2 linked regions of the Arabidopsis thaliana genome follow. Changing the gene in region 1 together with any one later gene gives a genetic interaction. Each region holds a gene or a part of one and is shown in the gene's direction. Other genes may lie near its edges. The genes, in order: CDKC2 and AT5G45190.

Region 1 (6,208 bases):
GCATTTCACAGGAGTGTTAACAATTTCACTGGTCTGCAAATAAAATTATCTTATGGAAGCTTGAGAGGCAAGAGATGGTCAACTAGTCAAACCACCACCACTCTCTCATCTCTGTCTTCTTAAAGTTCGATAATAATTTTTGGAGAGGAGACTCTGGTTGTTCATCAACAGAGTGGTCATGAGCCACATGTATTGCTTGTGTATAGAGAGATTTAGAAATTAGGAACTTTTTCGTATAAATATACTCATTGTACTCAGCTACTCACTAGACTCATCTCTGTTTTAGTAATATTTTGAATACTGTATCTCAAATAAATTAATCTTATCAAATAGAAACCATAGTTGAAAAGTCATGAATGATTCTTAACTGTACAAAATAATAAGCTTTGGTAAAACCCTAAACTTTCGTTTCCAAGATGCAATTTCTAGCTTCTCTCGTTTCCAATTCCAGAAAGTTTGGTCGGAGATGGGATCGAGCTCTCTCGTTGCATCATTTCTCTTCGAATGCGACACCAGCTTCGATATCAAATCCAGCGTTCGTCGAGTTTCTCAGGGACAATGGGTTCCAGAAACCTCTAGCAATTGCCATCGCAATGCGTTACCCTAACCTCAAATCCCTAGAACAACCTCGGTCAGTGATTCAAATGCTTAAAAGTTACAGTTTTTCCGATACCCAGATCCAGAAATCGATCCGGGTCCATCCTCGAATGATGTTCTACAACGTGGAGAAAATTCTAGAACCCAAACTTCGATTCTTTAAAGATATTGGATTTACTGGCTCTGGTCTTGGTAAGTTCGTCTCTCAAAACTCATCAGTCGTTGGTGTAAGTCTAGTGAAGAAATTGATTCCTACCGTTGAGATTCTGAAATCGATTGTTGCCCCAAAACATGAAGACCTTCCTGTCATTCTTAGTAGATGTGGTTGGCTTCTTCTCAGTAGAGACCCTAACTTGTTTCTCTTACCAAACATCTCATACCTTGAAACCTGTGGAATTGTTGGGTCTCAGCTTGCTTCTTTACTTAGAAGACAGCCAAGAATCTTCAATCTCTCTGAGGAAAAACTCAGAGGATATGTCTCTCGTGCTTTGGATCTTGGTTTTACTTTGAACTCGAGGATGCTTGTGCACGCTGTTATCTCGTTAAGTTCTTTGAGCGAGAAAACGTTTGATCGAAAGGTTAAGTTGTTTATGGCTAATGGATTCTCTGAAGATGAGATAACAGATATTATACGAAGATCTCCAGGTTTGATCCGGTGCTCAGAAGATAAGCTTACACTGGGGTTTGAGTTTTACTTGAAGAGAATGGGGTTAGAGAGGGAAGCTTTGGCGAAACGTCCTTGTGTGTTGTCGTATAATCTTGAGAAGAGGGTGATTCCTAGGCTTAAAGTTTTGCAGATCTTGAGGGAAAAAGGGTTGTTGTTAAAAGAGGAGAAGAAGAAGAAGAACATGGTTGGCATTGTTGAGATGACTGAGGAAGCTTTTCTAGAGAAATATGTTGTGAGATTTGGAGATGAGATTGCTGAGGAACTGCTGGTTGCTTACAAGTGCGTGTGTTTAGTCGATGAAACGCTACTTGATCGTATCAAGATCTAATTGTAGATTTCACAAGTCCAAACTTGAAATTTTGTCATTGTATCCAAACTTCGCTCATCCGTAACTGTGTTGAACATTATAATTTGGAAGTAACTCTTAAATCACCCTTTATTACGAGCTTGAAGCTTCTCATATAATAATGGGATTCATATGAAGCGATTCTTTTTCTATTTCAGCACTTGAGCAAAAACTCAAGATTGTCAAAGCGTCTTAAAAATTTGACTCATGAATTTAACCGGTTTGATTTTGGTTCGTTGTAATAACCGGTTTAAACCAGAGATTGATTCCGGATAAAAAAGCTTAGGTTTTTCCGCGAAGCCGACACTGTAAGGTAGGGCTAAAACCTTAGAATAGCCGGAGAGAAGAAGGCGAGAAGAGGAGCGACAAGGGCGAAGCTGCAGAATTCTTCGGTAATTTTCAGATTCGGTTGAATAATGGCGGCTGCGGCTTTTGGGCAGTTAAATCTAGAGGAGCCTCCACCGATTTGGGGATCTCGTAGTGTCGATTGCTTCGAGAAGCTTGAACAGATTGGTGAAGGAACTTACGGGTATTCTTCTCCATTCTTTTTTTTTCTGGGTTTTGTTCCTTGATTCCAATTTATTTGGTTTTGTCAGAGTACTCGTGCTCAAGACTGAAATTTCTCAAATTTGAACGATTTCGCTAGGGCCACTTGATATATAAGTTTTTTTGAAACAATTTTGATTGTGAAACGTTTATATATAGTTATTGATCCATATATTGTTGATTTGAGGAATTTTAACTTTGCCTCTTATCTCAATAAATTCGATTTTGTTGATTGAATTTGGGAATTCTCAGATTCTTGGTATGGTAGATATATATATATATATATATATATATATATATATATATATGTTGCAATAAACTTCTGAAGCTGTCTCTTTTGATGGTGTTTAGATTCATATATTAAAATTTGGTTTTGCAGCCAAGTGTACATGGCTAAAGAAATTAAAACTGGTGAAATCGTGGCTCTGAAAAAGATCCGTATGGACAATGAAAGAGAAGGGGTAAGCTACATTTGAACTACCAGTACTAGCTTTGACAAGTTGCAAATTTTTGTGAGTTTCGTATGACTTATATTTCCGTTTTCATTGTTTGCATGGAGTTTCCGATAACCGCTATCCGGGAGATCAAAATTCTGAAGAAGCTGCATCATGAAAATGTCATCCATTTGAAAGAGATTGTTACTTCTCCAGGTAATAAGGAACTCTTATCTTAGCTTGTAATTGCTTTAGAAATTTTGTCAAAAGGGGTGTTAAGTTTGATATGTAGAGTTTTGTGACTGTTTTTGTCTTTAAAAGGTCGAGATAGGGATGATCAAGGAAAGCCAGGTTAGTGAAACTTATTCAAGATCGAAATATTTTCTGTACAACTTAGATGCGACTATGAGAGATCTATTTAAACTGCTTACGGCCTAAAGCTTGTTGCTTTTCTTCAATTTTAGATAATAACAAATACAAGGGTGGAATCTACATGGTCTTTGAGTACATGGATCATGACTTGACTGGACTTGCTGATCGTCCTGGACTGAGATTTACGGTTCCTCAGATAAAGGTATTGCATGGCTAGACACCTTGTTGTAGTAGCCTTTGCAAAAACCCTTATTGTTCCGACTTTGTCTGACATTTGAACATATGTAAAAAAGTGTTACATGAAGCAACTGCTGACTGGGCTTCACTATTGTCATGTGAATCAAGTGCTTCACCGTGATATAAAAGGTGAATATATCCCAAAATACATTGTTGACCATTTTGTTCTCTTGTCTTTATTTGCTAGTTAACCTATAATATATTGGTGCAGGTTCGAATCTACTTATTGACAATGAGGGAAATTTAAAGCTAGCGGATTTTGGGCTTGCTCGGTCATATTCTCATGATCATACTGGAAACCTCACAAATCGTGTCATCACTTTGTGGTATAGGTATGTATGCCTACAAACTTTGAAGTTATATACAAAAAAGTGACAAAGAATAAGTATTGCTTATACGTGCAGCTTTTTCTCTACTTATGCATTGTTTATTGCTGTAGGCCCCCTGAATTGTTACTTGGTGCAACTAAATATGGACCAGCGATTGACATGTGGTCAGTTGGATGCATATTTGCTGAACTTTTGAATGGAAAACCAATCTTGCCTGGGAAAACTGAGGTCAGGATTTCATCTTATGATTATCGTGGTGTGTGTTATTACAGTGTTCTTTGATGATGTTTCCACTTAGCGTTTTAGTCATATTTTTTTCTTTCCAGAATGAACAATTGAATAAGATTTATGAGCTTTGTGGATCACCTGATGAAAGCAACTGGCCTGGAGTTTCCAAGATGCCTTGGTATAACCAAATGAAATCATCTCGGCCCTTAAAGAGACGCGTAAGGGAGATCTACAGACAGTAAGTATAAACCATTATGTAGTTGCGACTCTTTTATGCAACAGTTACTTTGATCCAGGAGATCTCATTTGGTCCTTTTCTCTTCTGCTATAGCTTTGATCGCCATGCCCTTGAACTACTTGAGAAAATGTTGGTACTTGACCCATCTCAGGTACCAAAGAATTTTTAATACAGAGAATTAAGAGCCTTGGTCTAGACATTTAAGTCCTTTCATTTTCCTGTCTGTTGGTACAGAGAATATGCGCAAAGGATGCTCTTGATGCTGAGTACTTTTGGACTGATCCGCTGCCATGTGATCCAAAGAGGTAATCAAATTCTCTTAACTTTCTTGTTATGAAAACCCATTTGGTTCATCATACATCACAAATGACGATCAAGAACAATTAGTGAGTGATTCAGCTTGTACTGAAACTGTGTTATGTCAACAGTCTACCGACATATGAATCATCACATGAGTTCCAGACAAAGAAAAAACGGCAACAGATGCGTCATAATGAGGAAGCAGCCAAAAAACAGAAACTGCAGCATCCACAGCAGCAACATTCTCGTTTACCTCCACAGCAACACGGTGTTGGCCAGTCTCATGCCGCTCCACTTTGGCCTGCTGGACCAAACCACCCTATGAACAACAACGCACCACCACCCCAAATACCTGCTGGTGGCCATTACTATGGAGGAAAGCCCCGTGGTGGTGCACCTGTTCCAAACCGGTACCCTCCTAGCGGAAACCAGACTGGTGGTTATAATAATCAGAGCCGTGGAGGTTACAGCAGCGGAGCATATCCTCCACAAGGTCGTGGTGCACCATATGGCGCCGGTCCTAGAGGACCTAGCGGTGGCTATGGTGTTGGACCACCCAACTACTCACAAGGTGGTGGTCAGTATGGTGGATCTGGTGGCTCTGGAAGAGGTCAGAACCCTATGGGTGGTGCTAGAAACCAACAATATGGATGGCAACCGTAAAGAGAACTCAAAGAGACTCGTATGGTGTGGTCTTGGCTTGATGTCTTTAAGGCAGTTGTGATTTTAGATATGAAGACTTATCTTCGCGAAAGAGAATCTATTTTCATTTGATTTCTTGTCTTAATGGCATTCTTCCAAACATTCTGTGATTGTTGTATGTTTAAATCAAGGTTTATATATCAGAACACAGGAAACCAAATTGGATTTTTACCCAAATCTTATTATTTCTTGCAAAAAAACGTTTCACAACCTCTTATCTGTTTTCGATGAAGTGTGGAAAAACTACACGAATCAGTGTAAACCCCAAAAAGAAAACGAAAAAACTCTCCTCTGAAGCAGCTCCAGCAGTAATTGTGTCATTTCTCATTGCTTATTGTCTTATGCGGATGATTCTACTTTCAGAACAACTTTCATGAACTCGTAAACAAAGTAACTGATTGCCGCGGAAGGCAAAACCTGCAATAGTGAGATAATTCACAAAGCTGTAAAACCTGCAATAAGCTGGTTCAAGAGATTAATTTATGACTAGTATTAAGGAATCAAACCTGCAATAAGCTGGGAATCAAGCCAGCATATAGAGCAGGAACACCTCCTTGTTCAATGATCTTCACACAAGTAGCCACTGCGCTTAACCTTTTAGCATGTGACTGCATTTGTAAACGCCTTCTCACAACTTCAAACGGATATGTTGCTGCTTCTGAGCAAGCCCCTGCGATTGCTCCATATAACAAAGTTCTCATGGGACCAAGCTCGAGTTGATCGAAAGCATTAAGTTCTTCACCTTCTTGCTTCATGTGTTCAAGCCGTTTCTTACCTTCCGGTGTATGAAGGTAAGCTGATTTTAAAATATCATAGACACCGTAGAACACAGCTCCCGATGGAGCCATACTAACAAGTGAAGGTACAAGACCTTTGTATAGGGAAAAGAAACCTTCAGTTTGAATCATGTGACGGAATGCACCAACTACACCACCTAATGCTTCTCCACCGGGTGCCACCATAACCGTTCTTATCTGCAATTCAAAACCAAAGTAATGCTAAAGAACCTCCAGAGAATGGTAAAAGAAGCTCAATGAAGTTTTTGTTGTGATTCCACTTACAGTATCAAGTGGTAGACAAAGCAAACTAGCTGTTACTCCGGCAGCTGCACCAGCAACAAACCTCTCGAAATTTGTCGTTTCTTCATTCCCGGACAATTTCAGAAGCTGACCTCTATATGTATCATATGCATAGAAGTTGATGGACTTAAAG
Region 2 (6,524 bases), 7.7 Mb from region 1:
GTTTCCTACTTTGTTTCTAGCAATCGATTGCTTCGTGGGTAGGTTTTCAAAATCAAAACCTAATATTCACTTTCTTTGGGAATCTCGCGAGTTAATTTACAAGATCACATGTCTCAATGTATCGTAGGGTTTCTGTGTTTTTTTTTTTTTTTTTTCTTTTTCCTGTTGGGAAGGGTTTCTTGTTTTTTTTGCTAAGCTTATTATTTTTCTTTCTAATTTAATTTAGGATCCTTTAATTTATAAAGATAAAAAAAAATTAAATTGTTTGTTATGGAGTGTTTATCTAAATTAGTTTATAATGGTATAGATAAATATGAAAAAATAAAGATACTTATAAATTTAAAGAAGAAAAAAAAGAAAAACTTTAATATAATATTAGATATCCACATATTATTCAGATTTTACTAGGTTTTTTCGAGTTTACCCACTAAACCCGAAACCTATCGGATTTTTTGTGGGCATATTAAATTCGGGTTCGAGTCGGATTAGTTATATTTTGTCAAAAATGTATAATTGTTTGCAAAATGTAACCAAATTTAATTAATTGAAACCATTTTTATTAAAATTGAACAACTTGTAGGTTTTTTCCGACCATTCCAAATCTTACACCTACCCGAACCGAATAATCATAAAACCCCAATGGATAATAGTCTCTTCTTCTACCAGAAATATCCAAATCCAAAAAAAATCAAATCTGATCAAAGTTTCTAAAGCATAAGCCTAGACACAACTTCAATGAATTTCATAAATTTTAAGAAATTATATTTACATTGATATAATCTAATTCTTTTTTTTAAAGCATAAGCCTAGACACAACTTCAATGAATTTCATAAATTTTAAGAAATTATATTTACATTGATATAATCTAATTCTTTTTTTTAAACTACTAAAATATACATATTTATTAGTTTGAAAAATGAAAAATTGAAAAATGAGTGTGGGGCACGTGCCTCACCTCTCCTCTACCTACATCTGCCCCATGTTATAACTCTAATCTCAATATTCTCTCTAAATATTTTTAAATAACGTAATTTTTTTTGTTGTTTACTAAATAACTACTACAGTATACTATGTGATTTAAACTATAAATATTGCTAACTTGTCATAAATGTTTTACACAAACATATATATACTTAATTCTCATTCATCTTCGATACTATTGAATATTTTATTATAATCTTTATCTATACATCTCACCATTTTATATGTTTAGTTGACATCCAAATTTTGGAGTTATTTTAACAAAACAAAAGAAAAAAACAAAACTTTTGACAAAATACACAAAAAAAACATATTTGAAGAAATTTTTATATTTTTTCAAAAGCTTTAGTAGATAATTAAAATTTAATTTGTGATATATGTATATATTGTGATTTACGTATATCGCGGTCATTTTGAGTTAACAACTTTAAAAAATTTACTTTAAATAATAAAAATTATAAAGTCGCATTTTTATAACCTAGGCCTATATAAAATATAATAAGCTTTTAATATTTATTTTATCTCTTGATTTCTAATTCCTAATAACTGTTTCCTATTTTCTTTTTCTTTTTCTTTTTTTTTCCGTCGATTTTCTTTTTGTTCTTATCACATTTCAAAAAACAAATGTTAAAGATATCAATAAAGACGATTAGTGATTAGCTTATGAATTTATTTATATTCTTTTAATGTGAAAAAAGGGAAAGAAGTGAATCTGGTCTCAGCTTTTAATATCACAACTCTTTAGAATACTTCCTATCCCCTTTTTCTTCTTCTTCCCTCTTTCGTTTTCTCGCGACTCTCTAGGGTTAGGGTTTGTTGATTTTCACGCGTTATTCTTCATCTTCTTCTGCAATTCGCAACTAGAGAAGCTAATTCCATTGAAGTTAAGGTAAAGTATCCATCTTTTTGTTTCCCTCCCTCGTTCAATTACTGTCTTAAATTCTCGTTGATTTCCTTTATCCTCTCGATTTGGGTATTCTTTTTTGTCCACCGTCAAGTGAATCTCTCAACGAATTTTTCCATCTTCCGGTTAATTTCTATAGAAACCCTTTGGATCTGTTTTTTTCCTGCTCAATTACTAATTTTCTAGGTATCGTTTCGTGTTTTGAGAAAATTTTGGGATTTTGATCGAATGTATCTAATTGGTGATGAATTTTTAGCCTAATCAAGTTGTTACCACAAGTTCGATTCCATGATTTGCAATTCGTAAAGGTTCATCCTTTGCATGATTCATGTTCATAGCTTGTAGAAGATTTATCCCCTTTGACTCTCGTTTTAGACTATGTGGTTATGTTTCCTTGAAGCCATGTCACTAGTCTCTTCCCCGTTGTGCCCTTCCGTGTAGCTAATTTCTTATTCAAAGCCAAAGTTCGAATGCGGGTATAAAAAACATAGCTATCTACTTTTTCTGATGATCTCTTATCCTATCTAGTGTCGAGTATCAGACTTATTACCATTGTAAAGAGATGCCCCATTTTGGTCCGCTGCTTTTGCTAGGTTGCACAGATTGTTATAAAGTGAAGCAAATTTTGGTTCTTTGCTGTCATTTTGCTACTCTGCTTTACGACACTAATCATGAATCAGTATCTCCCCCTTTGTGCCCTTCTGTGTACTGTTAGAAACCTCAGTTGATTCCTGTTCTTAGAGTTTTCTAAATGCTTATAAGATTATCTGTTATTCAAAGATACGGTTTTAATGCAATTACAAAGATCATAGCTTCGTTTGTTGGGGAATCGATCTGGTTTTTCTTATGTTCTCTTTAATTGTCCTTTCTAGTGTTGAGTTTCAGGCTTATTATTATTTGTAAAGTGATGCACATTTTGGTTCTCTGCTTTTGTTAGGTGGGGATAATTTTTGGTTTTAGAAGATACTAATGGCTGGAGTACTAGCTGGGGAATGTTCTTACAGTGAGAGTGGAGTTTCATCACACTCAAGGAATTCCCATGAAAAGCAAGAAGAGGTTTCCCGCTGGTATTTTGGAAGAAAAGAAATAGAAGAGAATTCACCGTCAAGGTTGGATGGTATTGACTTAAAGAAGGAAACATACCTCCGCAAATCCTACTGTACATTTTTGCAGGACTTGGGCATGAGATTGAAAGTGTAAGTTCTCTATCACCTCATCTTAGATTTCTTTCTGTGCATTGTTCCTTTAACTGCTTCAAGTTGGCTTGGTTTCTTGACATTATAGTTCGTCCAATCCGTCCCATCATCATTGTGGACAGATAATAGTTACCCCTTTACATATAGGTTTCGTTTAATTGGAATTTGATGTGCTGCTGATGGTTTTAGGCATACGTTTGTACTGATGTTAGTTCTAGCACCTTTAAACGGAAAGTTGTAGAAGTTGTGTTTATTTTATCTCAATTTTTCTTTCTTTGGCATGAATACAAGGAAGAGACAGTTATTAGTGGTGAAGACATAACTGCCACACTGTCTTAATTTTGCTTTTGTAGTCATGGTTTCTGCATTGTTCAGAGATTTCAATTTTTGGCTCTCTTGGAAAGTCGCTGATATAGTTTTCCAATCAGTCCCCAGGTTACAATAGCTACAGCGATAATCTTCTGTCATCGATTCTTCTTTCGCCAATCACATGCAAAGAATGACAGAAGGGTGAGTTTATTGTTTTGCACCTGAACAAGTTGAATGCTTAAAAAAAAATGACTCTATTCTGTGTTGTTTGAACCACTATGCTGTAGTCTGGCTAGTATTTAAGGTATTGAAATGTATTGGTTTTATATATAGTGGATCCATCTCCTTGCCATTTTTCATGGTATTTATAGAGAGCTCATTATTGTAGTTTCATTTATAGTTTCGCTACCACTTTGATTTAGATTTTTCTTTTTTACTTATTCTATGCAGAATTAGTGAATTGTGATTGTTGTTATTTCTTCTAGAGCGGAAAAAAATACTCGGATCTTTACTGAGCTCTCTCTTCATGTTGTTTCTGCAGACCATTGCAACTGTATGCATGTTCCTTGCTGGAAAGGTTGAGGAAACTCCACGGCCCTTGAAAGATGTTATTTTTGTCTCCTATGAGATTATAAACAAGAAGGATCCTGGTGCTTCCCAGAAAATCAAGCAAAAGGTATTCCATCTTACTACTGAATCTTCCTAATTTCTCACCTCTGTTTTACTAGTTATAGATGAACGTATCATTTTTTCCCCATATCTTTTGTTTTATTTGACATTGAGGTTTTAGTATTAGCTACAGACTTTGCTTCGTTGTTTTGTAGAACCATGGTCCTTTGGTCCTGATTTATTGTCTGTTGGTCAGCATATCAAAATGTATTTGACCTATATCACTTTTTCAGGAAGTATATGAGCAACAAAAAGAGCTTATATTAAACGGAGAAAAAATTGTTCTTTCCACTCTAGGCTTTGACCTCAATGTTTATCATCCTTATAAACCCCTGGTAGAAGCAATAAAGAAATTTAAGGTTGCACAGAATGCACTTGCCCAAGTTGCATGGAATTTTGTTAATGATGGGTACGTTCAAGAACTATTTCCTTCTAAAGCTTCCAATAATTCTATGTGCCTTGTATTTTCGTCTTCATACAATGAAAAGTGGCTTGCAGTCTACGGACATCTCTCTGCCTGCAATTTAAGCCTCATCATATTGCGGCTGGTGCAATATTTCTTGCGGCCAAGTTCCTTAAAGTGAAGTTACCATCAGATGGAGAGAAGGTTTGGTGGCAAGAATTTGATGTCACACCCAGACAACTGGAGGGTATGTACAATATGAATTGACTTGACAATTCTTGTTTCCTTGTTTGACTTCCATTCCCTTTTTCTTTATGATTTCAAGAGTAATCGTCTTTTGTATATCTCAGATGTTAGCAACCAAATGCTTGAGCTTTATGAGCAAAATCGTGTCCCTGCATCTCAAGGAAGTGAAGTCGAGAGTAGTGTAGGTGGAGGGTCAGCTCAGCGACCAGGCTCCAGAAATGCGGTTTCAACCGATGAGCATGTTGGTTCTAGGCAAACGTCATCAGTACGTTCAACCCATGAACAATCAAATTCTGATAATCATGGGGGTTCATCCAAAGGAGTATTGAATCAGAACAATGAGAATGGGGGTGGTGAGGCAGCTAATGTCAGTGTCGATAACAAAGAGGAGATAGAGAGAGAAACAAAAGAAAGCAGCCTACATCTTGAAAGCCATCCAGCCCATAAGGACAATGTGAGAGAAGCCCCCCATAACTCTAGACCTTTAGTTGAGGGACCTGGGAAAGACAACTCAGAAAGAGAGGGTGGAGAGCTACAAGATGATGGTGCTGTTCATAAATCTCGAAATGTTGATGTGGGTGATGCCCTAATCAGCCAATCGCCAAAAGATTTGAAATTGCTTCGAGATAAGGTGAAGGCTAAACGAGAGAAAGCTAAGAAGTTGCTAGGTGAAAGAACGAGGAAAAAGGATTTGATGGATGAGGATGATTTGATTGAAAGAGAACTGGAAGATGTGCAACTAGCTGTTGAGGATGAAAAGACGAAGGAAAGGAAAGTACAGAGCAGGCCAAAGGCGGAGAACTCTGATCTCATGGGTACAGAACATGGTGAGATTTTAGATGTTAAAGGAGAAGTCAAAAATACAGAGGAAGGTGAAATGGTAAACAACAATGTGTCCCCGATGATGCATAGCAGAAAGAGAAAAATGGGAAGCCCTCCTGAAAAGCAGTCAGAAGGAAAGAGACGCCACAATAGTGAGAATGGGGAAGAAAGCCATAAGACGAGCAGAGGTAGTAGCCATCATGGTGATAGAGAGCACAGAAGACACTCACAAGAGAATAACCATTCATAAGAGAGGTAATGATTATTAAAACTGCTACTCTTTGTATTCCATCTAAATGGTCTTTTTAAAAGACCTTTGGCACTTCGATGCCCAACCATGTGAACTTGACTTCTACATGGGTCGGTTCAGTCGTTGGAACCATGCTCTCTGTATTTTATGTTGATTATATATCTATTCGTGGCATTTTTGCACAATCCAACGACTTGAACTAGGACTCATCATCCTAAAAGGATGTTGAGAAGCTAATTAGGTGTTTCTTCCTGTAACCACTCCATGCTAGGGTTCTTTAATTATGCATAATTACCTGCTTTTTTCCATCTAATCTAAACCGGGCTAAGGTTTGATTCTGCTTGGCAACTTCATAGTCACATTTACTTCGTTTCCTTATATTGATGCGCATTGTGAAAAAGTTTCCTCTAGTACGGTAAAATTAGTGTCAGGTCATAGGAAGTAATGTATAGGTTGTGGTTAAGTCCACTTGATAACTTCTTTGTTACTGTACATTGTTGAATTGAGTTTACTTTTGATGCCAAAATATTGTTACGACCAATGTTTTCTTAAGTTATATATGATGTAAAAGAGAGAAACCTTTGTATTGTACGGTATCAAAATGAACTATATGTACTTTTAAGTCTGTCAGATTTTGTTTTCTTCGAAAAGTGATATTTTGTATGACCTATCGGAGAAGTGCCATCTGATTCGGAAGCATAAATACAAAGAAAGCATGTAGAAAGAAAGAACGAAAATAACTA

What was found.
Region 2: of CDKC2 (region 1) and AT5G45190, changing one enhances a phenotype caused by changing the other (phenotypic enhancement), as found in Arabidopsis thaliana (one study listed by BioGRID).

Annotation. Positions count from the first base shown.
Region 1 is NC_003076.8:25,953,471-25,959,678, forward strand, and holds CDKC2 (cyclin dependent kinase group C2), read left to right. Parts: upstream 1-1,903; 5' UTR 1,904-2,026; coding exon 2,027-2,139; intron 2,140-2,535; coding exon 2,536-2,617; exon of another isoform or gene 2,618-2,679; coding exon of another isoform or gene 2,680-2,715; coding exon 2,716-2,806; intron 2,807-2,911; coding exon 2,912-2,941; intron 2,942-3,054; coding exon 3,055-3,164; intron 3,165-3,255; coding exon 3,256-3,328; intron 3,329-3,410; coding exon 3,411-3,531; intron 3,532-3,638; coding exon 3,639-3,756; intron 3,757-3,854; coding exon 3,855-3,994; intron 3,995-4,087; coding exon 4,088-4,145; intron 4,146-4,228; coding exon 4,229-4,299; intron 4,300-4,422; coding exon 4,423-4,957; 3' UTR 4,958-5,335; coding exon of another isoform or gene 5,336-5,413; 3' UTR 5,414-5,421; intron 5,422-5,496; downstream 5,497-6,208. Other genes in the region: AT5G64950 (Mitochondrial transcription termination factor family protein), read left to right, coding at 417-1,592; AT5G64970 (Mitochondrial substrate carrier family protein), read right to left, coding at 5,336-5,413, 5,503-5,970, 6,058-6,208.
Region 2 is NC_003076.8:18,277,065-18,283,588, reverse strand, and holds AT5G45190 (Cyclin family protein), read left to right. Parts: upstream 1-1,714; 5' UTR 1,715-1,871; intron 1,872-2,823; 5' UTR 2,824-2,855; coding exon 2,856-3,080; coding exon of another isoform or gene 3,081-3,082; intron 3,083-3,145; coding exon 3,146-3,169; intron 3,170-3,271; coding exon 3,272-3,289; intron 3,290-3,510; coding exon of another isoform or gene 3,511-3,517; coding exon 3,518-3,592; intron 3,593-3,932; coding exon 3,933-4,067; intron 4,068-4,293; coding exon 4,294-4,469; intron 4,470-4,558; coding exon 4,559-4,710; intron 4,711-4,813; coding exon 4,814-5,781; 3' UTR 5,782-5,969; downstream 5,970-6,524.